Linked DNA regions of Stegostoma tigrinum. The protein of the gene in region 2 purifies or fractionates together with the protein of the main gene of each other region. This does not show direct contact. Links are inferred from orthologs where the notes say so. Each region holds a gene or a part of one and is shown on either strand. Other genes may lie near its edges.

The links.
Region 1: the proteins of rad18 (region 2) and slf1 purify together in Homo sapiens (affinity purification with mass spectrometry; 4 studies listed by BioGRID and IntAct, with this or other methods). This does not show direct contact. The link is inferred for Stegostoma tigrinum from reciprocal best matches to the Homo sapiens genes RAD18 and SLF1.

What each region holds. Positions count from the first base shown.
Region 1 is NC_081356.1:89,485,061-89,500,308, forward strand, and holds the start of slf1 (SMC5-SMC6 complex localization factor protein 1), read right to left. Parts: upstream 7,889-15,248; 5' UTR 7,537-7,888; intron 3,628-7,536; coding exon 3,514-3,627; intron 1-3,513. UniProt on the Homo sapiens protein: Plays a role in the DNA damage response (DDR) pathway by regulating postreplication repair of UV-damaged DNA and genomic stability maintenance.
Region 2 is NC_081364.1:59,455,445-59,470,923, forward strand, and holds the start of rad18 (E3 ubiquitin-protein ligase RAD18), read left to right. Parts: upstream 1-8,575; 5' UTR 8,576-8,619; coding exon 8,620-8,637; intron 8,638-9,055; coding exon 9,056-9,137; intron 9,138-15,479. UniProt on the Homo sapiens protein: E3 ubiquitin-protein ligase involved in postreplication repair of UV-damaged DNA. Postreplication repair functions in gap-filling of a daughter strand on replication of damaged DNA.

The DNA.
Region 1 (15,248 bases), on a different chromosome or scaffold from region 2:
AGCTGCATTCCTGAAAGAACTAGCTGTAATTTTTTGACTATGTCTTAAAGTTCGAGGCTTCCCAATCAGAGATAAGGCAGATACACAGGTATTATATTTTTCCCTAAAGATTTGAAAAGTTCAATCAAATCACCCCTTAAACTTAGATCAATTCTTGTGAATATAATCCTAGTTTTACGTAATCTTCTCATAATTTAGTCCTTAGTCCAGGCATCATATTGGTAAATATGATGGACATATTGGATATGATAAATTAGGGAGAGGCAATGGCCTAGTGGTATTATTGCTGTACTGTTAATCCAGAGACCCAGATAACTTTCTGGGGACCGGGTTTGAATCCCGCCATGGCAGATGGTGAAATTCAAACTCAATAAAAATAGCTGGAATTAAGAAGCTAATGGTGACCATGAATCCATTTGTTGATTGTCAGAAAAAAACCCATCTGGTTCACTAATGTTATTAGGGAAGGAAACCGCCATACCTACCTGTCTGGCCTACATGTGACTTCAGACCCACAGTAATGTGGTTGACGCTGGGCGATTAGGGATGGGCAACAAAATGCTGGTCAGTGGCACCCTCATCCCATTAATAAATAAAGGGGTATCTGTACAGTACTCTCTCCAAACCAGTATATTTACTAAAATGTGGTACAGTGAGCATCATGCCTGTTCCCTCGATGCAAAGGCCAATGTTTCACCAATTCTTGTGCATATTTTCTGTATCTGCTGATAATGTCAATCATCTTTGTTCACAGGCTCCAAGGCTCTTTAGACCTCCATTATTTCAATATTTAGAAGATACCCTGTTCTATCCAATCTGTGTTTTCATGAATTAAAATCCACTTTTCATTGTTTTACATTTTCACTAATGGCATCATCAGTAGACACAGTGGAACAATAGTGAACTTCTAACCTAAGGGCCCGGTTAAAACTTTGGCAACTAGCGGAATTTAAAAGTATATAAACTAGATTCGGTAATGGTGTCCATGACAACAATCATCAGTTGGTGTGAAAATCCAGTTCACCAGTGTCTTTTAGGGAATAAAACTGCATTCTTTACCTGCTCTGGCCTACACGTGACTATTAACCCTCAATGTCATTGACTCCTAACTGCTTTCTGAAGTAACCCTAGCAAGCCACTCAGTTCAAGAGCACTTACAGAAGGGCAGCTAATAAGCCCAGAGGGTTATTGAGGCTGGATCATTACATTTATTCAAGGCTAAGATAGGCAGGATTTTAAATCAGCAAATGAATCACAGGTTATGGGGATAAGTTAGGAAAGTGGTGCTACATAGAACATTACAGCACAGAACAGTCCCTTCAGCCCTTGATGTTGTGCTGACCTGTCATACCAATCTCAAGCCCATCTAACCTACACTATTCCATGTACGTCCATATGCTTATCCAATGACGACTTAAATGTACCTAATGTTGGCGAATCTACTACCGTTGCAAGCAAAGCGTTCCATTCCCTTATTACTCTGAGTAAAGAAACTACCTCTGACATCTGTCCTATATCTTTCACCCCTCAATTTAAAGCTATGCTCGCCGTCACCATCCTAGGAAAAAGGCTCTCCCTATCCACCCTATCTAACCCTCTGATTATTTTACATGTTTCAATTAAGTCACCTCTCAACCTTCTTCTCTCTAATGAAAACAGCCTCAAGTCCCTCAGCCTTTCCTCGTAAGACCTTCCCTCTATACCAGGCAACATCCTAGTGAATCTCCTCTGCACCCTTTCCAAAGCTTCCACATCTTTCTTATAATGCGGTGACCAGAACTGTACACAATATTCCAAGTGCAGCCACACCAGAGTTTTGTACTGCTTCACCGTAACCTCTTGGTTCCGGAACTCGATCCCTCTATTAATAAAAGCTAAAACACTGTACGCCTTCTTAACAGCCCTGTCAACCTGGGTGGCAACTTTCAAGGATCTGTGTACATGGACACCGAGATATCTCTGCTCATCTGCACTACTAAGAATCTTACCATTAGCCCAGTACTTTGCCTTCCCATTACTCCTACCAAAGTGCATCATCACCTCATACTTGTCTGCATTAAACTCCATTTGCCACTTCTCAGTGAGGACTATTAGCTCAGCCATGATCTCATTGAATGGCAGTTGACTCGACGGGCAGAATGGCTTACTTCTTAGCCCATGGTCTAAATATTGACCTTGGTAGCAGCGCCTACATCCTAAGAAAAAGAAAGGCGGCTCTTGTGGTGCAATGATTCTATCCCTACCTTTGGATGAAAAGGCCCAAGTTCCTAACATTTTGAACAGGTTGATTAGATAGGTTATAAAACGGTCCAAAGAAGAAAAAGAACCTGGTTCCACTATTCATAACTCTTTCAAAATCACATCTGAAAACATATCTCTCCAGTTGTGTCTATAATTGACTCTCCTAACTTCTAAGTACTTGCTCTGCTTAAATGGCTATACTATCACTCAATCACTAGAAGTTTGAGAGTTCACTCCCAGCGAGTTGAGAAGATTTGTAGCTCAGGTTGAGTTTTGGGATGTGAGTTTGCTCGCTGAGCTGGAAGGTTAGTTTTCAGATGTTTCGTCACCATTCTAGGTAAACACCAGTGAGCCTCCGAATAAACGCTGGTGTTATGTCCTGCTTTCTATTTAGATAGGTGGTGACGTCATTTCCTGTACATCCATCCTGGGACAAGCCAAACAGAGACACGCACGAGAATTCCTAAAAGCATGGCATTCCAACCAGAACTCCATCAACAAACACATTTGGAGCCAATGTGTTTGTTGATGGAGTTCTGGTTGGAATGCCATGCTTTTAGGAATTCTCGTGCGTGTCTCTGTTTGGCTTGTCTTAGGATGGATGTGCAGGAAATGACGTCACCACCTATCTAAACAGAAAGCAGGACATAACACCAGCATTTATTCGGAGGCTCACTGATGGTGTTTACCTAGAATGGTGACGAAACATCTGAAAACTAACCTTCCAGCTCAGCGAGCAAACTCACATCCAGAGTTCACTCCCAGTTGTAGAATGGTAGCACTTAATCCAGGTTAACACATCATGCAATGCTAAGGAAAAATTGTAATCTTCCCACATAATTTAGCTTTAGTCCAGGCATCGTATGAGTCATTGAAGTAATCAATAGCAGGGTCTTGGTTCAATGTAGAAAGGTTCTGTGCGCCATTCAAAGAGGATATTTTCCAATTGCTGCTCTCAAGTTTCCTCGATGAGCATTAAAAAAAATTAATAACTAATTTAATTTTTTTGTGGAACTCCATTGTGTACAAATTGTTTAAAATCTAGAAAAGAAATTCATTAGATCTGAAGATTTTTGGAACAATAGGACGAAGTGATTTGCATTATCTTGACTTTCATATATTGAAGGTTCAACATGGATAGCGTGTATAAAACTATTTTGAGATAATTGAAACTTAGAGGACGAGAGAAAGAACAAAAATATTTATTGATGAAAACAAAACTAAATTAGCTAAAAACTCACATTTCCAATTCTCTAATCACTTAGGACTTACCTGCTCACCAAAGTAAATGCAGTCGAGTTCAGTAAGTAATTTGACAAGGGCCCTTTTCTCAGAATGTTTGAAACCGGTTAACTGTATTATAGGATTCTGTGCTAGTCCAGCCATCTGTGCAACAAAAATATAATTACTGGAGACAAGCAAATGTCAAATGTGTCTGGAAGTGGAAGAACATTAAAAAAAATTCAAACGTACAGATAACCTGACCACTCCGGGTTCATACAGATTAGAAACTTTTGGGAGCAATTTCTGAGCTAGGGATCAGATTTAAGGTCTACAGTCCCGCCACATTCAGCTGTGCATAGTGGTGGATAAGTAAAACGATGGACAGGTAGAGGTTCCACAAATATCCCCATCTTCAAAAGTGTTAGGGGTATATGGCGGGAAGCATTTTAATCAGTCGCAGGCCAGAAGTACCAAGTGGATGGCGATGGACTAATGGTATTAATGCTAGACAACTAATCCTGAGACACAGGCATTATTCTGGGGAGTTGAGTTCAAATCCTGCCATGGCAGAGGTGGAATGTGAATTCAATAAAAATCTGGAATTAAGATTCTAATGATGATCATGAAACCATGACCAATTGTCAGGTAAACCCATCGAGCTCACTAATGCCGCCATCCTTATTGATCTGGCCTGTATGTGACTCCAGTAATGCGGTTGATTCTTAACAGCCCTCTGGGCAATTAGGGCTGGGCAGTAAATGTTGACCCAACAAGCAATGCCCACAACCCATGAACATATATGAAAATTCAAATTGCACACTGGTTCTTACTGCAAGAAGACTGGAATAAAATCTCGATATAATTGCCTTGGTGATTCAACTGCTTTGTGTCTAGAAATGTTTAAGGAAGAAAATGCTTATATTGGAGCCAGGATGATATTAAAGGTTATTTGTTCAGTCAAGGGACAGTTACCTGAGTTGGTTGGATAGCCAGTTTGTGATGCAGTTGCCAGTGTGGCTGCGCTCATCACGAAGGGGTCTCCTTCTCAACATCTCCCCTAACCAGAGGTTGGTGATCCTCAGGTTAAAGCTCACCATGTTGTGGAGGTTTGGACTAGTGTGGGCAAAGTCAGAAGTCACAACACCAGGTTACAGTCCAACAGGTTTATTTGGAATCATCCAAGCTTTCAGAGTGCAGCCCCTTCGTCAGGAGAGCACACAGGCGCATCTTGAGGGAGGGAGGGAGGCCTAAAATGGCTGACTGACTGCCTCCTGTTGAATCTTTAATTATTCATAGATTCCTGCATTCTAGAAATTTCAGAAGTAGGGTACGGAAAACTCTGTTAGAAAGGAAACGTAAATTTTGATTGATTAAGATGCAAATTCCAGAATTTGTTTTAAGTCACTGTCCCGGGATAATTAAAGTTTGCATCAGTGTCTGACTAACTTTCCAAACTTCAGAGTCAGAAGTCACACAACACCAGGTTATAGTCCTTCAGGTTTACTGGGATTCACACAAGCTCTCAGAGTGCGGTCCCTTCACCACATGCAGTGAGACAGCAAGGCACACAGACACACTCTCTCTACACACATGCGTACATGCACAAACAAATCTATGGGGTAGAATAATTTCATTCAAGATCTTTGCTTATCTGCACGTACATTCTATTTTGCTCAAAAAATTGCATTCACAGTCAGTGTGGCATCTTATAAATTCCAGCTTTCAGAATAAAACCAACCTGATTCCAGGTTAAAAATCAGATTCTGAACAAAGTCTCAGACCCACAATTCAGTGTCTGACCTGATATGTCAGCTTTTGTACATTCCTATGGATCTGTCTGATTGTCATGACAGCACAGTTCTGACACTGACTTTATAAACATTTTACACACTGTATAAAACTCATGGTCACCAGAGGCATATCATCTGCCACTCCACTCACACCAGTGAGAGATCTTTGGATTTTGTTGCCCTTCATCTCTGTTTGTGTGCCCTACTCTCTCACTGCACCTGACGAAGGGGCTGCACTCTGAAAGCTTGAGAGACTCCAAATAAACTTGGAGTATAACCTGGTGTCTTGTGACTTCTAACTTTAAACAATCACTAGTCATCTCTCTCAATGAGACAGCAATTCCATGCCCCAACAAAGCTATAGAGTTTTTACCTTCACCTTTGTTTAACGAATGGACGAAGTGAATCATTCTATGATGAAAAGCTGACTAAATTGGGTAGTGGCTCAGTGGTCAGCACTGGTACCTTACAGTGCCAGGGACCCGGATTCAATTCTATCCTCGGGTAACTGTGCAAACTCCATACCGACATTCTCCGTGTTGGTGTGGTTTTCTTTCAGGTGTTCTGGTTTCTTCTCCCAATCCAAAGATGTGCATATTAGATGGGTTGGCTATGCTAAATTGCCCACAGTGTCTCGGGTGGAAAATGCAGGGATAGGGCAGGGGGTGGGTCAAGGTAGACGCTCTTCAAAAGGTTCACTTGGGTGTGATGGGCTGAATGGTCTGCTCCCACACTATATAGAGATTCTATGAAGTTTGGGCTGCACTTCTAGTATGTACAGAATATGAAGTAATCTTACTGAAAAACATTCAAGATTCCAAAGTGAACAGGACAGACATCAATAATTATTGCTCCTGGCAGAAGAATATAGAAAGAGGCATTGCATCAGAAGGGAACTCAATCATTGAGGACTGAGGTGAAGATTTCAGAAATGTCTTACAGAAGACTAATACAGTTCAAATAGATCCTTCAGCCCAACTCATCCACTTGCACCAAGTTTCCCCAAACGTAACTAGCCCCATTTGCCTCAAAACCTTTGTTATCCATGTACTTGTCTGAATTTCTTTTAAATGTTGTAATTGTACTCGCTTCAACCACTTCTTCTGACAGCTCATTGCTCTTCAGGTCCCTTTTAAATCTTTTCCCTCTCACCTTAGAACTATGCATTATAGTTTTGGACTCCTCTACCTTGGGGAGACGACTTTGGCTATTCGTCTAGTTTACGCTCCTCATGATTTTATAATGCTCTCTCTCAGCCTCCTTTGCTCCAAGGAAAGATGTCCCAGCCTATCAGTCTCTCCTCAACTCAAACCCTCCACTTTTGGAAACATCCCTGTAAATCGGTTTTGTGCCCTTTCCTGTTTAATCACACCCTTCCTATCGCAAGGCAACTAGAATCGTAAGTAGTACTCCAAATGTGCCCGTACCAATGTAACACGATGTCTCAACTGCTGCAGTTAACGCCCTGACGACGAAGGCAAGCATACCAAACACTTCCGTCAGCATTCTGTCTGCCTAAGACTTTTGTGCTCCGAAGATGCTGCTTGGCCTGCTGTGTTCATCCAGCTGCACACTTTGTTATCTCACTTCAAATGAACTGTGTACTTGCGCCCCAAAGTCTCTGTTCAACAACATTCCCCCGTGGCCCTACTAATGACTGTGCAAGTTCTGTCCTGGGTTGTCTTACCAAAGTGCGACACCACTTTATCCTAACTTTACTGAGAGAACTGGAAAGTTTTGAAACATCGTACTTCCAAGCGTTATGGATTTTTAAAAAAAAAAATCAGAGCTCACTTAAGGCTGGCATCCAATTTTGCTCTGCTGGGGATTTCAAGGATGGCAGGCGGGAAGAATGAAGTAGGTGATCAGGGCTGATCATGGTGAGAGGCGAAAAAGCTGGAGGGATCGTTGGTCACTTCGTGCTTTCCCGAACTTCTAATCGGGTCAAGTGATGAGAAAAGTACAGATGACCGCTTCAGGCCAACAGTGCCAGCGGCAGTCGAGCGATAGGCTCAAAGTAGGAAAAGTCAGAGTTAATTAGGGAAAGGGTGTGTTCAGAAGCTCATCACAGAGTCAAGTATTGCACCAGGCTTACAAACAATCTCGTTAAAGTTTCCACACTTGTTAAGAAAATTGATGGAACCCGTGACCAAGGAATTTAGAAGAGTAAGAAAGGAAGCATACTCCCCGGTCTTAAACTGTACACAATTTAAAAGAAACCAAATTCAATGTTAACTGAATATTTGCAAACAGAAATCTACAAAACTCTGTGCAACATTACCTCTACGTTTATAAACACGTACGACCCGTCCTCACGTTTACACCGAAGTTCCCTAAACTTCCCAAACTCACGTAAAGCACACGATTGGCGGGGATCATTAAGAGTGAGTGAATGAACTGCCGACACTGTAGAACGCGCTCAAAAAGTCACGTTGCCTCAACTCGCGCGCAGATTAAAACTGGCTGTCCAGAGCCAAACCGCCGACAATTCCCACCGTCTCGACTACTCTAAACATTGAAAACCAAGATACCTACACAGCAATTAGAAAATAAAACAGAATACACTCTTAAGCTGCAGCTAAATCTAGACGGTGTTACTGATTTGAGGCAATTGTGCGTTCCATGAGCTTTGTCATTAGTACTGACTGTTAAGATCTCCAACACCCCCCCACCCCGGGACAAGGGGTAGTACAGCCTGGTCACGTGTAATCTGGCGTCTCGCAGTGACGTAGCCTTGTACGTCTCCGAGTGACACGTTGGTAAACAGATCGGTGAACTGGAGTGACGGGAATCTAGGGTAAGGCCTCAGCATCTTTTGTAAATGAAGATTATAAATTTAAAGTATTTCTGCTACGTTATTTTCACTTCTTCCCTTTGTGCCAGTTTATTGCACAACATTAACGAGGCACTGAGGGATTGGTGTCGTTTCACTTCACTGAGCGTGACTTGCGGCACAAACACAGAATGATGTTAGAAACTCAGCAAGTCTAGCAGCGTTTGTGGAGCGATAAACGGAGTTAATGTTTCGAGTCCAGTGTGACTGTTCTTCATTCTCTACGTTTGTTTCAGATTTCCAGCATCCACAGTATTTTGCTTTTATTTGAGTTGCAGCGATGTTTGGCCTATTGCTGCGGTAATCTTCACGTTCCAATTCAAACCTCTACATGGACAGATAGTGAATATAGTCTTATTATTTACAAGCAAAGCTAGATTATTTTTCAGCTGCCGAGGTGACCATTCATTTTGGTATTTGGTTTGTTTTGTTATTACCTAAAGTAATGATACAAGGTCGTTGCTCGACGTTCGCAGTTGTCAAGTCAGAGAGACATACAGCAATGGAAACCGAGGCTTCAGTCCAACTCCATGCCGACCAGATATCATTGATACATCTAGTCCAATTTGCCAGCATTTGGCCCGTGTTCCTCTAAACCCTCCTATTCATATACCCGTCGGGATGCCTTTTAAACGTTGTATTTGTATCAGCTTCCATCACTTCTTTTGGCACCTAATTTCATACACGCAACACGCTCTGCTTGAAAAAGTTGCCCCTGAGATCCCTTTTAAATATTTCCTCTTTCACCTTAAACCTATGCCCCTTAGTTTTTGACCCCCCACCCGAAAAAGACCTTTTCTATTTACTTTATCCATGCCCCTCGTAATTTTGTGAACGTCTATAAAGCCACCTCTCAGCTTTCAATGTTCCAGGGAATATAGTCCCAGCCTATTCAGCTTCTCCCTATAATTTAAACCCTCCGACCATGGCAACATCCTTGGAGATCTTTTCTGAACCCTTTCAAGTTTCACAACATCCTTTCTATAACAGGGTGACCAGAATTGTGCACAAGTATGACAAAAGTCTGTGAATTTTGAGAAGATTTGTAGCTCAGGTTGAGTTTCTGGATGTGTTTGCTCGCTAAGCTGGAAGGTTAGTTTTCAGACATTGTCACTTTTTTTAAAATTTGAAAAAATATACTTTATTCATAGAATGTAGAAAAAATAAAACATTTATACACCTACCCAGTCATGCAAGCCGCTCTGGGATACCCAGGGGGTATGTAGACCAACTAAAGGAAAAAACAAAACAAAGAAGAAAAAAAACAAAGCAAAGAAAATACCCCGGCAGTCGTCTCCCCGCACAGTCCCCGTTGGCCCCCTGACCAGTTGGGGAAGGTGCCAACTGGGCCCAGTTACCAGATAGGGCCCTTTTTTCTATTCTGGACGAGGAGTTTCATACGGTGGTCTTTCCCCACCGCGCCTCGGCAGCGGCTGCCCCAAGCTTTAGCGCGTCCCTCAGCACATAGTCCTGGACCTTGGACTGCGCCAGTCTGCAACACTCGGTCGGGTCAGTTCTTTCAGCTGGCAGACCACCAAGTTGCGGGCAGTCCAAAGAGCATCTTTCACTGCATTGATGGTCCTCCAGGCGCAGTTGATGTTGGGCTCGGCATGCATCCTGGGAATCAGCCCGCAGAGCACGGAGTCCCGTGTCACGGAGCTGCTCGGGACGAACCTCGACCAATACCACTGCATCCCCCTCCAGACCTCCTGTGCATAGGCACACTCCAGAAGGAGGTGATCGACAGTCTCGTCCCCCCTGCAGCCGCCTCAAGGGCACAGTGCGGTGACGCAGAGATTCCGGGCGTGCATAAAGGATCTTACTGGCAGAGCCCCTCTCACCGCCAGCCAAGCAATGTCCTTGTGCTTGTTAGAAAGTTCTGGTGATGAGGCATTCTGCCAAACGACTTTGGCAGTCTGCGTGGGGAACCACACGACGGGATCCAGCCTCTCCTTTTCCCGAGGGGTCTCGAGGATACTACGTGCTTACCACTGCCTGACGGCCTTGTAGTCAAAGATGTTTCCTTACAAAAATTTCTCCACGAAGGACAGGTGGTACAGGATGGTCCAACTACTCGGAGCGTTCCGTGGCAACGAGGTCAGGCCCATCCTTTGCAACACCGGGAACAGGTAGAACCTCAGTAAGTAGTGATACTTGGTGTTTGCATACTGAGGATCTACGCACAGCTTGATGCAGCTGCACACAAAGGTAGCCGTCAGGGCGAGGGTGGCGTTCGGTTCGCCCTTTCCCCCATTTCCCAGGTCTTTGTACATGGCGTCCCTGCGGACCCGGTCCATCCTCGACCCCCAAATGAAGTGGAAGATGGACCGGGTGACCGCAGCAGCGCAGGTCCAGGGAATAGGCCAGGCCTGCGCCACATACAACAGTACCGAAAGCCCCTTGCACCTGACAACCAGGTTCTTACCCGCGATGGAGAGGGACCGGAGCGTCCACCTGCCCAGCTTCTGCTTCAGTTTGGTGATAAGCTCCTCCCAAGTCTTAGTGCACGCTCCAGCTCCACCAAACCAAACACCCAGCACCTTCAGGTAGTCTGCCCTGACGGTGAAGGGGATGAAGGAGCAGTCGTCCCAGTTCCCGAAGAACATGGCCTCGCTCTTACCCCTATTGACTTTGGCACCCGAGGCCAGTTCAAACTGGCTGCAGATGTCCAACAGCCTACTCACCGACCGACGATCGGTGCAGAAAACGGTGACATCGTTCATGTAAAGGGAGGTCTTGACCTGAAGGCCTCCGCTGCCTGGGATAGTCACGCCCTTCAGGCTCACGTCCTTCCTGATGGATGCAGCTAAGGGCTCCACACAGCACCCGAACAAGGCAGGAGAGAGCGGGCAGCCCTGCCTGACTCCAGATCTGACGGGAAAACTGTCCGATTCCCACCTGTTGATCGAGACTGCGCTAACGATGTTGGTGTAGAGCAGCCGGATCCAATTGCGGATGCCTTCCCCGAACCCCAATTTGGAGAGGACGTCCCTCATGTAAGCATGAGAGACTCTGTTGAAGGCCTTCTCCTGGTCCAGGCTGATGAGGCAGGTGTCCACCCGCCTGTCCTGCACGTAGGCGATCGTATCCCTGATGAGCGCGAGGCTCTCAGCGATCTTCCTGCCTGGCACAGCACAGGTTTGGTCAAGATGAATCACCGACTCCAGGACAGACCTGACCCGGTTGGCTATGACCTTGGCCAGGATTTTGTAGTCCACGTTCAATAGTGAAATCGGACGCCAATTCTTAATTTCTTCCGTCTCCCCCTTCCTCTTGTAAATGAGGGTGATGATGCCCTTCCTCATGGACTTGCACATTTCCCCTGCCCAAAGCGCACTATCATACACCTCCAGCAGGTCCTGACCGACCAGGTCCCACAGAGCGGAATACAGCTCGACCGGTAAGCCGTCGCTCCCGGGAGTCTTATTCCTCTCAAAGGATTTGAGGGCTCTGGTCAGCTTGTCCAGGGATATCGGCTGGTCCAGCCACTCCCTCGTGCTATCGTCTAAGACCTCTGTGATAGACGACAGGAACGACTTGGAGGCCGTGTTGTCCGTGCTTGGTGTCCTTCACCGTGCCCATCAGGAATCTGGATGTGACGTCCTGTTAACTCCCCCACCCGCTGTCCCCACGCTGGATCATCCATCTGCATCGATGATGCAGTTGAAGTCTCCGCCTAGGATGACCGGCCTGGACGTAGCCAGCAGGGATGGAAGGCGCTGCAGGACGGCCACCCGCTCACTCCGTACCGCTTGGGCGTACATGTTGATCAGCCTCAGGGGAGTGTACCTGTAGGTGACATCAACCACTAGGAGGTGCCCCCCCCCCCACCACCTCCTGAACTTGAGAGATGGTGAAGTTGCGCCCCCGCAGCAGAATAGCCAGGCCCAAGGAGCGACAGTCATCACCCCCCGACCAGGTCGAAGGCCCACAGGTCCAGGCACCCGACCATATCCCATACCTGCCGAGGTGCGGTATCCCACACTCCTGCAGAAACAGGAGGTCTGCCTTGACGGTGGTCAGGTAGGCCAACGTGGACACACGTCTTGTGGTGGACTTGACGCTGCGCACATTAACGCTCGCAACTTGTACCCCCATTGTGGGCAGTGACCTCGAGTCCAAGGTCCAGCCCCTCCATCTGTCCCTTCATGCCCATTGCCTGGGCGAACTGCTGGACGGCCTCCGGGCCAAGGAAACCGTCTGTGCTGCCTTCCGGGTGGCATCCCCCCCTCAGCAGTATGGAGTCAGGAGAGTCCGGCTCTGGGTCAGGTTGGGGGCACGTTTCCTGCATCCCACCTGCAGGTTCCAGGGGGCCCTCCAGGGCCCCAGCAGTGCGTGGCTGGGTGTCGGAGGGAACCTCAGGACACCTCCCGTCCCCTGGAAGCGGGCTGCTGCTTTCCTTCTCAGTGGAAGTCTTCAGCTTCTGCTTTGGGCGGGCCTCCTCCGAATCCCCCTCATCAGGGGAGCTCTTATAGCCCCCCTGTAGCTGCCTCTTCCCGCCTGATGTTTGCGGAGCTGGGGCCACAGCGCGCCTTCCTCCTCACCTTCCGGACCGTCGTCCACTTCCCTGGGTCACCTGTCACCTCCTCCATTGACTCCGGGTTGTCGGGGGGGAGCGGGGAGGGGAGCGGAGCCTGCAGGGCGCTTTGCTGGCCTCGGGTCCACCCTGCGGGGCTGGTCCCTCCTACACAACCTAGCCCTCCTGCACACGAAGGGGTGGTCCTTGCAGTGGCCTGGTGCCTTCCTCTCCTGGGCGTAGGTAGTCCCCTGCTGCGGGCATGCCCTATGGATGTGGCCCGCTTTCCCACAAAGGTTGCAGCTTTTTTCCTTTGGGCAATCCTTTGCAAGGTGTCCCTCCTCCCTGCAGATGGTGACTTTGCAGTCAGCCACCACGTGACCTGACCTACCACAGGCATAGCAGACTTTGGGTTGCCCTGCGTAGGTCAGGTAGCCCTTGCTCCCGCCAATCGCGAAGCTGGACAGTGGGTGTATGATGTTCCCATCTGCACCCGTCCTCAGCGTCACCCTGACCTGTCTCTTACTTGTCCAGATCCCGAAGGGGTCCATTATGTTGGTTCGGTCCCCTTCCACCTTCACGTACCTTCCAAGGAAGGTCAGGACATCAGCTGCTGGCACATGCGGGTTGTACATGTGTACAGTGACCATACGGCTCCTCTGCACCAGCATCACGAACAGCAGGACAGCGGTCAGTACAGAGAAGGGGCCCTCACCTCCTTTTTCCTTGAAAACCTCCAGGAAGCACTCGCAAAGCTTGGCGCTCCTGAAGGTTACATCGTAGAAACCTCCTCCGGGGAAATCCTGCAGGCAGTAAATGTCCGCAGCAGCGAACCCACCACAGTCCAATAGGACCTTCTTCACGAAGAAGGTGCGGTCCACAGGTGCACCTTCATCCACCTTCTTCACGGAAACGCGGATGGTGTTCTGGACCCCCTGACCTGGGGCACGAGCACTTGCCGCAGCCATCGTTGCAGGTTGGCTGCTCCCCTGAACCAGCGTTAGTCCGAAGCCAGCATTAAGATCCACTGGTCGCAAGGGTGCACAGCCAACCCGACGTCCTCCTTTCACCTCCAACACAGCACTCCCCTCCTCTCGGTCCACAAGAGAGTGGGTCTTTATTTTGTTCCAGATGTAAGCTGGTTCACTGAGCTGGAAGGTTTATTCCCAGACAATCTGTCACCATTCTAGGTAACATCATCAGTGAGCCTCCAGTGAAGCATTGGTGTTATTTCCCGCTTTCTATTTATCTGTTTAGGTTTCCTTGTGTTTGGTGATGTCATTTCCTGTGTTGGTGATGTCATTTCCTGTTCTTTTTCACAGAGGATGGTCAATTGATAAGGAGCCAATGTGTTTGTTGATGGAGTTCCGGTTGGAATGCCATCCTTCTAGGAATTCTCGTGCGTGTCTCTGTTTGGCTTGTCCTAGGATGAATGTGTTGTCCCAGTTCCGAAATGACTGCCAGACTACTCGGACATCTTGGCGTCAGGGTAGCCCACAAACCCACCAACACACTAAAACAGCAGCTAATGAACTTAAAAGACCCTGTACAGACCACAAGCAAAACGAACATCATCTACAAAATACCTTGCAAGAACTGTGACAAACACTACATTGGACAAACAGGCAGAAAGCTAGCCACCAGGATACATGAACATCAACTAGCCACAAAATGACATGACCCACTATCACTAGTATCCTTACATACAGATGAGGAAGGACACCACTTTGATTGGGACAATACATCCATCCTAGGACAAGCCAAACAGAGACACGCACGAGAATTCCTAGAAGCGTGCCATTCCAACCGGACCTCCATCAACAAACACATTGGCTCCAAATCAATCTACCATGCTCTGAGAAAAAGAATAGGAAATGACATCACCAACCCAAGGAAACCTAAACAGATAAATAGAAAGCGGGACATAACACCAGCACTTCATCGGAGGCTCACTGATGATGTTACCTAGAATGGTGACGAAACGTCTGAAAGCTAACCTTCCAGCTCAGCGAACAAACTCACATCCACAAAAGTCTGTGTTATATATGTTTTTATAAAGTTACCTAGGTTTCCTTCAGCTTTGAACATAGTTGAAATAACTGAAGCAGAACTGTGTGCATGACAGTTGAATTTTGCTGTCCAAAATAAATTTGTCACTGAATTCCTTATCAAGACATTGGAATTAAAAAATACTGTATCCAACGTTCCCCTTTCTACCTTTGGTAAACATGAGGTCATCGAAAACTCTGTTCCCCAAATCCTAACTCAGCAGCAAGTCCTATGTTGTTGGATTTACATTCAATTTCATTTAACCAACACCTGTTTTATTTTAATAAAAAGCAAACTATGTAGGATGCTGAAAACCTGAAACAAACACAACACTGGAGAAACTCGGCAGGTCAGGCAGCATCTTTGAAGAGGAATAGAGTTAATGTTTCAAGACTAACATGACTTCTTCAGAATTATTTCTCTCCACAGATACTGATGGACCTGGTTTCTCAAGTTCTCTTTGTGTTCGAATCTCTCTGTGGCCTTCATCCTCCTTCCTTCCTTCAATTGCCTTTAAACTTAAAACATCCAGAATTTCCACTCACATCCAATTCTGGCTGTATGTGCATTTTTTTTTGTTCCACCATCATGGGGG
Region 2 (15,479 bases):
TGGAGCTGGATGAACACAGCAGGCCAAGCAGCACCTCAGGAGCACAAAAGCTGACGTTTCAGGCCTAGACCCTTCATCTGAGAGGGGGATGGAGAGAGGGAACTGGAATAAATAGGGAGAGAAGGGAAGGCGGACCGAAGATGGAGAGAAAACAAGATAGGTAGAGAGGAGAGTATAGGTGTGGAGGTAGGGAGGGGATAGGTCAGTCCAGGGAAGACAGACAGGTCAAGGAGGCGGGTTGAGGTCGTAGGTAGGAAATGGAGGTGCAGCTTGAGATGGGAGGAAGGGATGGGTGAGAGGAAGAACAGGTTAGGGAAGCAGAGACAGGCTGGGCTGGTTTTGGGATATAGTGGAGGGAGGGGACGAGCTGGGCTGGTTGTGTGATGCAGTGGGGGGAGGAGGGAACGAACTGGGTTGGTTTTGGGATGCAGTGGGGGAAGGGGAGATTTTGAAGCTTGTGAAGTCCACATTGGGCTGCAGGGTTCTCGAGCGGAATATGAGTTGCTGTTCCTGCAACCTTCGGGTGGCATCATTGCGGCAATGCAGGAGGCCCATGATGGACATGTCGTCTGAGGAATGGGAGGGGGAGTTGAAATGGTTTGCGACTGGGAGGTGCAGTTGTTTATTGCGAACCGAGCGGAGGTGTTCTGCAAAGCGGTCCCCAAGCCTCCGCTTGGTTTCCCCAATATAGAGGAAGCCACACTGGGTGCAATGGATACAATATACCACATTGGCAGATGTGCAGGTGAACATCTGCTTGATATGGAAGGTCATCCTGGGGCCTGGGATGGGGGTTAGGATGGAGGTGTGGGGGCAAGTGTAGCACTTCCTGCGGTTGCAGGGGAAGGTGCCGGGTCTGGTGGGGTTGGAGGGGAATGTGGAGCGAACAAGGGAGTCACGGAGAGTGGTCTCTCCGGAAGGCAGACAAGGGTGGGGATGGAAAAATGGCTTGGGTGGTGGGGTCGGATTATAGATGGCGGAAGTGTCGGAGGAGGATATGTTGTATCTGGAGGTTGGTGGGGTGGTATGTGAGGACGAGGGGAATCCTCTGGGGGCGGTTGTGGCGGGGGCGGGGTATGATGGATGTGTTGCGGGAAATGCGGGAGACGCGGTCATGGGCGTTCTCGACCACTGCGGTGGGAAAGTTGCGGTCCTGGAAGAACATCGACATCTGGGATGTGCGGGAGTGGAATGCCTCATCGTGGGAGCAGATGCGGCGGAGGCGGAGGGATTGGGAATAGGGGATGGAATTTTTGCAGGAGGGTGGGTGGGAGGAGGTGTATTTTAGATAGCTGTGGGAGTCAGTGGGCTTGAAATGGATATCAGTTTCTAGCTGGTTACCTGAGATGGAGACTGAGAGGTCCAGGAAGGTGAGGGATGTGTTGGAGATGGCCCAGGTGAACTTGAGGTTGGGGTGGAAGGTGTTAGTAAAGTGGATGAACTGTTTGAGCTCCTCTGGGGAGCAAGAGGCGGCGCCGATACAGTCATCAATGTAATGGAGGAAGAGGTGGGGTTTGGGGCCTGTGTAGGTGCGGAAGAGGGACTGTTCCACGTAACCTACAAGGAGGCAGGCATAGCTGGGCCCCATGCGGGTACCCATGGCCACCCACTTTGTCTGTAGGAAGTGGGAGGAATCGAAAGAGAAGTTGTTGAGGGTGAGGACGAGTTCGGCGAGGCGGATGAGGGTGTCGGTGGAGGGGGATTGGTCGGGCCTGCGGGACAGGAAGAAGCGGAGGGCCTTGAGGCCATCTGCATGAGGAATACAGGTGTATTGTGTTGGAGTGGCCGGAAGTGCTACACTTGCCCCCACACCTCCTCCCTCACCCCCAACCCAGGCCCCAGGATGACCTTCCATATCATGCAGATGTTCACCTGCACATCTGCGAATGTGGTATATTGTATCCATTGCACCAGTGTGGCTTCCTCTACATTGGGGAAACCAAGCGGAGGCTTGGGGACCGCTTTGCAGAACACCTCTGCTTGGTTCGCAACAAACAACTGCACCTCCCAGTCGCGAACCATTTCAACTCCCCCTCCCATTTCTCAGACGACATGTCCGTCATGGACCTCCTGCAGTGCCACGATGATGTCACCCGAAGGTTGCAGGAACAGCAACTCATATTCCACTTGGGAACCCTGCAGCCCAATGGTATCAATGTGGACTTCACAAGCTTCAAAATCTCCCCTTCCCCTACTGCATCCCAAAACCAGCCCAGTTTTTCCCCTCTCCCCACTGCATCACACAACCAGCCCAGCTCGTCCCCTCCCCCCACTGCATCCCAAAACCAGCCCAGCCTGTCTCTGCTTCCCTAACCTGTTCTTACTCTCACCCATCCCTTCCTCCCACCTCAAGCTGCACCTCCATTTCCTACCTACCACCTCATCCCGCCTCCTTGACCTGTCTGTCTTCCCTGGACTGACCTATCCCCTCCCTACCTCCCCACCTACACTCTCCTCTCTACCTATTTTGTTTTCTCTCCATCTTCGGTCCACCTCCCCCTCTCGCCCTATTTATTCCAGTTCCCTCTCCCCATCCCCCTCTCTGATGAAGGGTCTAGGCCCGAAACGTCAGCTTTTGTGCTCCTGAGATGCTGCTTGGCCTGCTGTGTTCATCCAGCTCCACACTTTGTTATCTTGGAATCTCCAGCATCTGCAGTTCCCATTATCCCTGTTCCCATATATTTTGCTTTCCTTCAACCAACTATCTCATCTATGCTTAAAAGTTGATCTGATCTCTGCTTGAATCAATAACTCTGGCAGTTTATTCCGCAGTCTATCTCTGCGCTACAATTTACATTCCTCTTGTTTTCCATTCTCGATCACTTCTATTTAACCTTACATCTTCAAAACCTTCTAGACTATTTAATCACTGCAGAGTATTTTGAATTATTCTGTTATATCCTTCACAGGATCAAATATCAGTATCAAATCAAGTCTTAATCTCCACAGTTGAATTGAAAACAGCCCCAGTTCTTTTCTTGTGCCAGGCAGCATTCTAGATACTTCAGAAATTAAAACCAAAATGGTTTGCTGCTGCTGGTTTTGATCTATGAAGTTCAGGTACAGATTGGTTCTGATCAGGATTTCCGAGTCAGAGTTATTCCATTCATACAAAACCTAAGGATGTTGAAGATGTGGGAATTCAGTGATAGCAATGCTGTAGAATGTCAAGAGGAGATGGTTGTGTTCTCCATTTGAGATATGGTCATTGCCTGCCACTTGCATGACACAGATGCTACTTGCCACTTAGCAACCCAAGTGTGAATGCTGCTCCGTTTGCTCCAGGGCAGGACTGACTGCTCCAATATCAGAGGAATGGAACTGAATATTATACAATCATCAGCAAACAGCTCCACCACCTCTGACCTTATGGTGGAGTGAAGGTTTTTGACAAAGCAGCTGAAGATGCTGGAGCCTAGGACATCACCTGAGGAACTCCTGCAGCTGTAATGGGTTTGGGAGCCAAATGGACTTTTTTGTTTGTGGATAGGACATCCCTGTGTAACTTGCTGATCGTTTGGCAGATACCCACATTATAGCTGTACTGAAACAGACTAATTTATGACCACAATACTTCTGGAGAATAGATGTTCATTATTGTTGCTGGGACACTGTCATAGCCCATTGTTTTTTATGGATACGTAGAACTCTACAGTGTGGAAGTAAGCCATTTGGCCCATTGAATCCACACCAACCCTCTGAAGAGCATCATTCCCAGACCTGACACCCTACCCTGTCCTTGAAACCCTCTCTTTGCCCTGCTAATCCACCTAGCCTACGTATCGCTGGACACTTTAGCCAGGAAAATCCACTTAACCTGCACATCTTCAGATTGTGGGTGGGAAACCGGTGTCCCCGGAGGAAACCCACGCAGACATGGAGAGAATGTGCAAACTCCACACAGATAGTCAACCAGGGCTGGAATCGAACCTAGGTCCGTGGCACTGTACTAACCATTGAGCCACTGTGCAGTTCCTTATATCCAGTGTACTCAAGTGTTTGCTGCTATAATGTGGAGTAAAGTAAATTAGCTGAAGACTGGCTTTTGTACTGATTGGGACTTCAGAAGCGGGCCTGAACTGATTATTTGGCACTTATAACTGAAGATCTTTTGCACTCACCTGTTGGGATCTTCTCTCAATGGGGATGGAAATGAAGTTGTAGACATGCTCGCCGAGCCAGTAGGTTTGGATGCAAATGTTTTGTCAGCCTGCTAGGTAACATTGTCAGTGCGCCTCCCATGAAGCATCGGTGTTCTGCCCCACCTGTTATTTCTATGTCTCAGTTTGCTGGGGTGGTTGGTATTACTTTCAGTTTTGTTTCTCGGTGGTTTGTACACAGGGACTAATTCAGTGTGTTTGTTAATGGAGTTCCGGTTGGAATTCCAGGTCTCTGGGAATTCCCTGGTGTGTCTCTGGCTTGTGCAACTATCAATGTGTTGTCCCATTTGAATTCGTATCCCTCGTTGTCCGTGTATGGCGTGACACTTGAGGGTTGGTCGTATCTCTTGGTGGCTAGTTGGTATTAATGTATCTATACAGTAAATTTTTTTCGGATTTGGCCCATGTGGTGTTTCTCACAGTCCTTGCATGGTACTTTGTATATTACCCCAGCTTGCTAGTTTTGGGTATGGAATCCTTCACGTTTGTCAGTGGCTGTTGTTGGGTGGTTGTCAGTTTATGGGCAGTTCTGATACCTGGGGGTCTGAGTAGTCTTGTGGGCTGCTCTGAAATGTCCCAGATGTATGAGAGGGTGATAAATGATTCTGGTCATGTTGTGTCTACCTGTTGTCACCTGTTTTGGAGGTAATGGTAATGTGCTTTTTGGGTATTTTTTTTAAGAGTTCATATATGTGTTCCTGTTCTGCTTCATGTAGCTCCTTCATGTAGGGTTGCTGCAATGTATTGTGGCTCACTTAAATAGTGTCCTGATGCAGCTCCGTTTGTGAATGTTGGGGTTGTTGCTAGTGTAAATGAGTATTTGGCCTGTATGTGTGGTCTTTCTATATACACTAATCTGGAGTTCCCCCTTGTTTTTGTGTTCTGCCATTATATGCAGGAAGGGTGGTTGATTGTTGCTCTCTTCTTCTTTCATGGATTTTGTCACAGGGAGGGTGTTGATTAAGTGTTCGTGGGTTTCTTCCAGTTTAGTATGCTTGATAATAATAACACCTACATTTGGGACCTAAAGTTTGGGTTATATAATGGTGAGCGCTGTCCATTCTAACCTTTGCATTACTGCTCCTGCAATCAGTCCTGACATTGGGGATCCCATTGGTGTTCCGTTGATTTGTTTGTATATGTTGTCATTGAAGGTAAAGTGGGTTGTGAGGCACAGATCCAGTAGTTTCATGGTGGTGTCCTCATTGATGTTGTTGGTGTCCTGGGTTGCCTGCTTACTTGATTCATCCAGCAGTGTGGCAATTGTTTCTTTGGCTAGGTCGATGTTTATGGATGTAAATAGTGCTGTTATGTTGGACAATATCATCATCTCATACTCATCTATCCTGGTGACCTTCGAGATGTTGAAGAATTCTTGGGATGAGTAAATGAGAGGGTATTGTTGTCCACTAAGTATTTCAAGTCTATATGTTGGTGTACCTGGCAGTGACGGGTCTGAGGGGGACCCCCGGCTTGTGTACCTTGGTTGAATCTGTAGTATCGGGGTGTGTTGGATCCCTCTGGCTTCATTTTTTTGGTTGTGTGTCTTGCTGATGTCTCCTGAGTTGGATAAGTTCTTCAGGTTTGGTGTAATCTGGTTTCCTAATTGTGGTAACCAGGTGTTGAGCTGGATGAACACAGCAGGCCAAGCAGCAACAGAGGAACAGGAAGGTTGACGTTTCAGGCCTAGACCCTTCTTCAGAAATGGCCCAAAACGTCAGCCTTTCTGCTCCTCTGATGCTGTTTGGCCTGCTGTGTTCATCCAGCTCTACATCTTGTTATCTCAGACTGTCCAGCATCTGCAGTTCCTCCTACCTCCTAATTGTGGTGGCAGTTCTGTCGCCATCTGTTGATAGGTGTTGGTATCTGCTAGTAATGCATTAACTTTCTCGATGTATTGAGTTGTATTAAAGATTACTGTCATGCATCCTTTGTCTGCTGGTAAGATTACAATGTTCCTGCCTTTCTTGAGCCTTTCCAGGGCTTTCCTCTCTTGTGTGTTCCATTTTCCTTTTTGTTCAGGGTTGGGACTCTTGTCTGTCTGACAGTCTGTTGTATTTTTTCTGTGAGTCCGTTGTTCTTTAGTGTTGATTCCAGCCCAGCCAGGAAGCCAGTCTTTTTTGGCATCTCTGTAGTTATGTTTCAGTCCACGTACTAGGACGGTCTTCTCAGTATCTGTAAATAGTTGGTCTGAGATGTTCTTAACCCATGAATCTGTTGTCTGTGTATTGATGTAGGTGATTTTGGACAGTTTTTCTTGAAGGGCTATTCTTCGCTTTATTCTGATCTTTTGTTGTTGTGTGCTGATGGGATGGAAATGTTGATTGGCCATTCTCCTTCAATTCATTTTTTGAATTTAGGACTGTGCATAGTAGCAGATGGCAATAATTCCAAAATCAAGCATGGTGACCAATGAATGGGAGTGAGGCTTCACACAGTACCCAATTCAGGAGAATGAAGGTTGTACAGCTGCTCATGTAGTGAAGGTTGTTTGATGCCCAGTACTGGGGAAATGAAAACTGTAAGGTGCCCTATACAAGAAATTAAGATTGCATGGTACTCAGTGCAGGGAATTGAAGATTGCATAGTGCACAAACAGTCAGTGAAGTTTGCAGGGTGCCAAACTGGGGAGTTGAGCTTGCACAGTGAGGATTGTGGGTAGTGAATGTTCCATACTGCCCAATGCAGGGGGACAAAGGCTGCATGTTGCCCAGTGCAGGTGTGTGAATATTGTACAGAGCCCAATGCAAGGAGTCACAGTTGCATGGTGATCAATGCAAGGAAATAAAATTTGGAAGGTGGACAGAACAGGGAAGTGAAAGTTGCATAGCACTGGTAGTCAAGCTTGCATAGTGGTGATTATGTGCAGTGCAGTGTCGTGAAGGTACCCACTTGGGAAGCAAAGGATACAAGATGTAAAAGTGGACAGCCAAAGTTACACAATGATCCCAGACATGAAGGTTATACGCTGCCAAGTGCAGGAAGTGAAGATTGCACAGAGCCCAATGCAAAGGGATGAAAGTTGCACATTGACTAAGTAAGGGAGTGGAGCTTGCACAGTACCCAATCTAAAAAAAACCTGAAGATTGCCCCGTGCAAGATGTGAAGATTGAATGACGCCAACGTGGGCAAATAAGGTTGCACTATGGCAATCGTGAGCAGTGAAGTTTACATGCTGCGCAGTGCAGTGAAAGGTTGCATAGTGTCCGGTGTGGGGAGAAAAGCTTTCAGCGTTTAGGAGCGAAAGTTGCAGATTGTACGGTGCATTGTTTAAGCGATGCAAGTTTGAAGAGTACACTGTTTGGGGAACAAAATGTTAGGCTGGATGAACACAGCAGGCCCAGCAGCATCTCAGAGCACAAAAGCTGACGTTTTGGGCCTAGACCCTTCATCAGAGAGGTTTAGGCCCAAAACGTCAGCTTTTGTGCTCCTGAGATGCTGCTGGGCCTGCTGTGTTCATCCAGCCTCACATTTTGTTGTCTTGGATTCTCCAGCATCTGCAGTTCCCATTAACACTCTTTGGGGAATGCAGTTTTGCATGGTGCCAGGTTTCAGAGTTGCAATTAGAAGGATGCAGTTTGGGGGATCGGGGTTTAGTTCGCATGATGTGGGGGGGAGGTTTCGGGGTGGGGGCAGTTTTCATGGTTTGATGGGGGTGTAGTTTACATGATGCAGGGGAGATTTCAGGGGAGTTTGCATGGTTTGATGGGGGAGCTGTAGTTTGCATGATGCAGGGGTTATTGGGGGAGTTTGCATGGTTTGATGGCTGGTGTAGTTTGCATGATGCAGAGGGCTTCAGGGGAGTTTGCATGGTTTGATGGGGGCTGCAGTTTGCATGGTGCAGTGGGCTTTGGGGGAAGTTTGCATGGTTTGAAGGGGGTGTAGTTTGCATGATGCAGGAGGTTTCGAGGGAGTTCGCATGGTTTGATTTGGGGGCTATAGCTTGCATGATGCAGGAGTTATTGGGGAGTTTGCATGATTCAGGGGTGTTTGCATGGTTTAATGGGAGAGTTTTGGGGTGGGGGCAGTTTGCTTGGTTTGATGGGGAGTGTAGTTTGCATCATGCAGGGGGGTTTCAGGGGAGTTTGCATGGTTTGATTGACGCTGTCTAGTTTTCATGATGCAGGGGAGTTTTGGGGGAGGTCCAATTTACATGATGCAGGGGGTGGTTTCAGGGTGTTTGCATGGTTTGATAGCGGAGTGCAGTTTGCATGATGCGGGGTTTATTGGGAGAGTTTGCATGGTTTGATGGGGGAAGCTGCTGCAGTTTGTCGGGGGTACGGATTGGAGGGTGCAGCGCGCCGTCTGTCGGGAAGCTGGGGAGGGCGGCGTAGGGTGCAGGCTATTCTGGGAATCGGGATCCCCCGTGGCAACTAACCGGAAAGCGCTCGCGCTCAGCTGCTGATGACGTGCTTCCGGCTGTAGCCAGCGCGCGCGTTTTGCTCTGAATTCGAGAAAAATGTGGGAGAGACTGAAGGTGAGAGAGAGGGAGAGATTGAAACTGAGGGAGGGAACGACAGAGGAAGGGGTGCCCCGTGCTGAATGCCAGTGCGGGAAAGACTTAGGATGAGAAAGAGAGTATGGGGGGGGGAAGGTGTTTGTGGATGAGGATGGTTAACTGACCTATTTTCTGATGTAACAACAACTGAAGTTCAGACAAGATTTATACTGATTAATTGTGAGGTGCTGAGTGGATTGCGCGCGCTTTCCATTTTGATCCCATAGGATCTGTGTTCTGCTCTTAGTCAGTACAGTAAAATGATTAGCGGAAATCTTGATTACCCATCTCCACAGGCCTACACTTGATTTGGATTGGCAATGTATAGTCTGGGTTAAGGTGACAACTCTGTTTAGGATGGCAAGTTTGGACTTGACGAATCGTCTTTCTCTTCCAGGCCATGGATAACCTCTTACGCTGTGGTATCTGTTTTGAATACTTCAATATTGCCATGATGATCCCTCACTGTTCGCATAATTGTAAGTATTCTGCATGCCACCATCCTAATACTGCTGGCTGAGATGTTTTCACCAGTGCAGCACATTTCTGTAGAGTTGTGAAAGAAGTTTTAAACTGCTCCCTGTGTAACATGTAACGAGCATTGATTTAGGCAGGTATGTTTCAGATGATTGTTGGTGTGCACTGTGGCTGCAGATGGCCTACGATGACTGTATGTGTGTGGGACAAGACAGACTTGTGTGATATAATGCAACAGTAGACGTGGCAGGCAGCACCAATAAGATCTGAGCAGAAACAGTTGGCTGAATTTGGCTATGTCAGAGTTGCGTTGAGTTTTGCCTTTTGGAGGGTTACTCGTCATGGAACCTTGTGAGATTTCTCACTGTCTTACAAAGCTGCCTTGTCAACCACCTACCCTGCTCCTTTGCCATTTTCCAATTTCCACCCCAAACTTGCCGCCCGCTGTTTCCACAGCAACTTGCTACTCGGTGGACTTCCACTGACACTCCAGCATTGCTGGTGCCTGCACCGTCTCTAAAGGACCAGACAAGTATTTGACTGTCTCTGGCAGTGCAATGGCACAGCAGCTACACTGCTCTTGGCACAAGGCTGGCATGGCTGACCCTCCCTTGTACATCGACAATCTGTCATCTCTGGCGCTGCTTAACTACCATGCTACACACTTTTCCTGCCCGTAGCTACCTCCTGCCTGAATGCCATGACTAACGTCAGTGTTGCCCTACTCTGGTGCCCACAGTAGAACTGAATCTTGGCATTGCCCAGTTGTGAAACGTCACAAACAGGCGAGCAACTGGATGAATACAAAGTCAAACCCTGAGCTTTAATAGAGTCATTATTTACAAAAAGCAAAAGGGGACAAAACTGAAGGCTGAGCTCCTACGATGCCAACCAGTTTTCAACAATATGACCAAAATAGTTTGAAATTGGCCATTGTCTAATTCACCCAACTTTCGTCTACTGGAACTAGGTGTCAGGCAGGTTCTGTCTGGCTCGTTACACCAAACGCAGCTGAGCTCCATCATGGAGAGCATCAGTTTCCTACTCCCCCATGTTGTCCTCTTCAGAAGGTTTCACCTATTCCCCCAGTTCCTCAGCATCCAGCTTATGGCCTTGTTCTGGTCTTGTTGCCCACTGCAGTTGTGCAGAGCGCAGGATGATGGGACAGACTCTGTTTGGACTAGACTGGAGAGTTATTCCCTGACTGGTCCAAGCAGCAGAACCACCTTTTCAGTAGCTCCACCTTTTGATCCACGGTGGGGAAATGCAGGCAGCATTGTATCGGAGCTTGGCCGTCATTGGTGCAATTCCCTGCAGATGATGGCTGCATACACTGCACCCAATAATGAGCGACATATCTCCACCATCTATCCACTTTCAGGTTTAATCTGGGCAGCAACTTGATGAGTGGTTACCCCATGTCATTGACAAGGAAATATCTGCAGCTGCTCCGACACCTAGCCAACTCTGCACCCCCATTAAACACTCAACTAAACACAGCATTCAGACCACAGCATTGTCACACAAACATGACAGACGACGCAATGTGTGCCTCGCACCCAGGACCTGTGGAGGTAGCGTGAGCAGTTGTTCCCTTCAGCCAGTATGGACATTTCATGATAACACTGCAGCTACTTCCATATCATTCAGATGCCCAAGTTCAGCCAGTGATCACCAATGGGATGTTACAATTTACCTTTGACCAACATCTGACCCCTAAGCATCCTCAGTCTGAACGCACTGCAGTTGGACAACAATGGTTGCTAATCCATTAAAGCAACATTCTGTAGCGACAACAACATGAAGCAGGTGCCCACAAGGATAGGGGGGTCCAGCAAATGATGCTCTCCGCCGACCCTAGAATTTTCTTGTATTGAGATAAGGGAAAGTGAAGGCAGAGAAGGAAGATTGCGCTGGACACCATCAGCACGGGGCTTCCCTAAGTCACTAGGTTACATCCCCGAAGAAGTGTTTGGCAAACACAAAAAAACTTCATAATATGAGGGAAAGGTAGTATGGAGGCTGAGAGATGTTAAAAACTCAGAAAACTACCATTTTACTATCATGGAGTTAGTTAGTGAAGCGAGTTTGAAACGCTTGATGGTTTGATGGTATGGTGAGTCAGTGCTCCTGCTCTGCGAGATATAATGAACAGTTCACTTTTAGTCACAGCAGGGTACAACATTTCTTTTGAGGGCACCTCTTGATCGTTACTGTTTGTTTTTCTGGGGTTACTTCTTGATTTTCAGAAGTTGCATTTTCATTCTCATTAAATTATTTGGACTTAGAATTAGAACAATTCAGCAATATTCTCAATAGTCGTCAACCCTGTGAAACTTAAACCCATAATGCAGAAGGAAAACATTAAATAACACTGAAATTAAATATGCCCAAGACAACAGACGTAAGTTAGCAATGGAAATAATTGATGCCCACTTCAGCCACACAACCATAACCTAAAGCAGACCTATTGTAGATTAGAGAGGTTAGAGCAAATTTGTTTCTACTATTTATGTACAAAGCTGGACATTTTGACCTGGCAGACACTTTTCGCTGCATCTTGGATCACCATCTCATTTAAATTTAACATTGGACCATGTTCACCTTATTGGCATACACATTTCCCACTGTCAGTTAGGTTCTGAACATATGCAGCCTTGAACTAGAGATACCACATTCATTTATAAGTCATTCGTTGCTTCAGTGATTTTAAGCCTTTGAGTTATGAGTATTCCCTTCCCATTACTGTGGTCTCCCTCTCTCAACTGATTTTCGGCCTCTCCCCACCTCCCTGCGGTCTCCCTAACAACTTCCTTGTCGACAGCATTTACGTAGCCTCCTTGCTGTTACTCCGTTACAGGTTGTTTTTCTTGTGTTTGCTATTAATTGGTTCACTGTTGGTCATATTTCTATTTACAAGGTTTGATTGGCCCTATAAGTGAATTTTCGTTAGGAGTGGTGGAGGGGGTGGATCTGCCTGTTTTAACCACCCCTCTGGAACTTTGGGCACTATCGCAGCCCTTCTGGGTATTGCTTTATAATCATACTGTGCAGTGGTTTAGAAATGAAGTGGTTTTCATGCTGCTTCTCCTCCTTGCCCCATGCTTGACTTTCTTGTCCCTTTTCGGAGCTAGACCATAAAACCATTAGAATCCCTACAGCGTGTAAGCGAGTCAACACTGACCCTCTGAAGAACATCTCACCCAGACATACCCCTTTCTCAACCCTATTCCTGTAACCCTGCATTTCCTATGACTAACCCACCTAGCCTGCACATCCTGGGACGCTATGGGTAGTTTAACCTGGTCAATCCACCTAACCTGTGCATCTCTGAACTGTGGGAGGAACTTGGAGCATGCAGAGGGAACCCATGCAGACTGTAGCCCAGTCCATGATAGCCTGTACTGGACTTGCCTTACTGTGTAAGCACAGTTAATCAGAATTTTGCATAGTTAATTCTGCAATGATTTTTTAGCTTCTCACAAAATATACAACTACAAATCTCAACAAATCCGTTAAAACTCCCACCAAAAATACATTTTATGTCTGAACTGTAACTACAATTTTGAAGTAAGAATGAAAAAAATTTGAACATTTTCCACCACTTCAAATGAAACCTCTCATGAGAACTGTGATTCCTCACTTTATCAAGCTCCTGTCTGCTTCTGAGCCTGAGGTGGAACATCCTGATGATTTATGGTGCAGACAGTATGTCGTTAATCTGTGAATTCTGCTTGTCAAATCACCGGCTCCACCTTTAAAAAGTTTGCTTGTGAGACTACTCAATAGAAGTTCAGCCAGGCAACCAAATTATTGTGAAATCTGTCTGAGTTGAGCAGCCTGTTATTCAAAACGAACTTATCCCCCTGACAGAATGTAGAGTGTTTTTCTCTGGTGTATTGCCTTTTGTTTGTGGAATAAAACTATAACTTTTGGCAGCCTATGAGCTTTATTTCGTTTGTCTTATGGGAATCAAGTGTGCAATTAGAATTAATTGAAGCCAAACTATGTTCTGTATCGCTCTGTACCTTTGGTGTTGGGGAAGAGTGAGCTGACTTTTAACTTCCTTCAGTCAAATGTTACTCAGGCAGACCATTGTTAGTCTTGGATGAGCCCAGAACCTACGTGCTTCTGGCCTCAGATCTGTCATGCTCCCTGCTTCTTTACCTCAGGCTAAACCTGATGCACTGGCAGGTTTCACTCCAGTTAAACTCCCTCACATGTGATGTGTTGCCAGGATTGTTCTCCCCTGAAGCGCTGCCTGTCCTTTTTGCTGCACTATTGCAGCCAAAACTCCAATTTGTGCCTTTTTCATCTCAACTTCTCCAGTCTTGTCAAAGCCTCCTGCTTCCATGCTCCATTTACTCTGATTGAAATAAGAATTCTGAAACCTGGATCCTCTCCCGGATTTTCAACATATTGAGTCCTTCCAAATTCCCTGCATTTTAACATTTCTATCCTGCAATCCCATGGCTCTATTTTGCCCAGCCTCTGCATGATTGTCCTGTCATGTACCTCCTGACATGGGTTTGCTGCTTCCCCAACCCTGGTTTGCTCTTCTTATTCACTATAGGGATATGGGCATCCCTGGCAAGCCCAAATGGTGGTGGCCGTGACCTACCTTTTTGAACTATTTCTGAGGCTCTTTTGTTTGGTAGGGATTTTGATGCAACTGAATGGCTTGCTAGTCCATTTTGGAGCAAAGCTGGGAGTCAACCCCATTTGTGTAGTTCTGAAGTGACACATACTTGCAGACCTAGTGTGCACAGTGCACTGCCTTTAAGGAACATTAGTGCGAGTCACTCGGGTTTGACAACAGTCAGATTGTGACGTGGTCACTGAACGTTGTCAACAGACACTCACCGACTCCCCAACAAATAATCATCGTATCTGCTCTGGTTGGGAACAAATTGGTGAGGGTCTGATCTTATTGTGGTGGGGGGGAGTCGGTGAGTGTCTGGTTGTGATGGGCAGACTGGCTGCGTTCTGGGCTGGAAGATTCTTGGATGCCATGAATATGGCGAGGAATTGGTAATTCCATTGTTAGGAATAAAGCAGTAGAAAGCCATGACATTGGAGCACAAGAGTCGTGCTGCTGGCTGGAGATAAATACCGAGCAAGAAAATGTGGAGTTACCGTCAGGACAGACTTACACTTGATATATTTCTGAAATAATGTGCCAGACTGTTGCTTTTCTGTGCGTTGTATCAGATGACTTGGTCTGGTATTTCGTGATATAACATACTCCTTCTCACAGTTTCTTGACTGAGCAAGTGACAGTGAGCTTACTCCTTGGTCAATCCACTGTAGCAGTGTAACTTGGAGATTGGGAATGATCTGGGAATGCCAGAAAAAGATTTATTGAACTAATTTCTTATTGTTCCATCTTGCAGTCCCATTTTTCTTGGCAAACTGAGTAATCTCTAGTCCTCCAGATCAGGTTAAGCCACATTTCAGTTATGCTTTGGACTATGATATTTCCTCAATCCTTAGCAATTGTTGCCCAAGCAATATTTTGACCTGCTGTTTTTCTTTCCTCGTTTTTTGTTTTGCCTTTATTCTCCCAGATTCCTCAGGGTCATCTCTAATATTGGCACTTGTATTTTATCAGTTCAAAATGATCATTTGTAAAATGGACCTGGACAGTGGAAAACAGTACTGATGTGTCCTGGAGTGGAGTCACTGTCATGGAGCTTCATCCAACTTCATGGCGCACACACAATGCAAAGAAATGCCCATCAAGCAGGAGTCTCATGGAGACTGCTTCTAGATGTGGGGGGACTGGTGAGTTTGCCAAGGAAAATGGGACCACAGGATGAGATGAAACAAAAGGAAATCAGTTCAGTAAATCTCTGTGGCATTCCAAGATCATTCCCAGGCTCCAAGTTACACTGCAGCAGTGCACTGACTGAGGGGAAAGTTCACTTGCTCAGTCGAGAAATTGTGATGCAAAGAGTAGGTTATATCACAAAATACCTACCCAGTCATCTGATACAATGCACAGAAAGGCAACAGTCTGGTGCATTTATAGGAAGAGAAATGAATCACATGTAAGTCTGGCCTGACAGTAACTCCACATTTTCTCACCTACAGTCAGCAGCATAATTCCTACGTCCCAATGTCAAGGCTTTCTACTGCTATATTCCTGGCAATGGAATTTAACAATGTCTCACCATATTCACAGTTTCCAAGAATATTCCAGTTCAGAAAGCAGCCATTCTACCCATCAAAACTTTGCCAGCTCATTGACATTTACAGCCTGACCACATGCTCACTGACTGACTGACTGTTTTATGATAAAAGTGCAATACTGTGGATGCTGGAAATCTGAAACTAATTCAGAG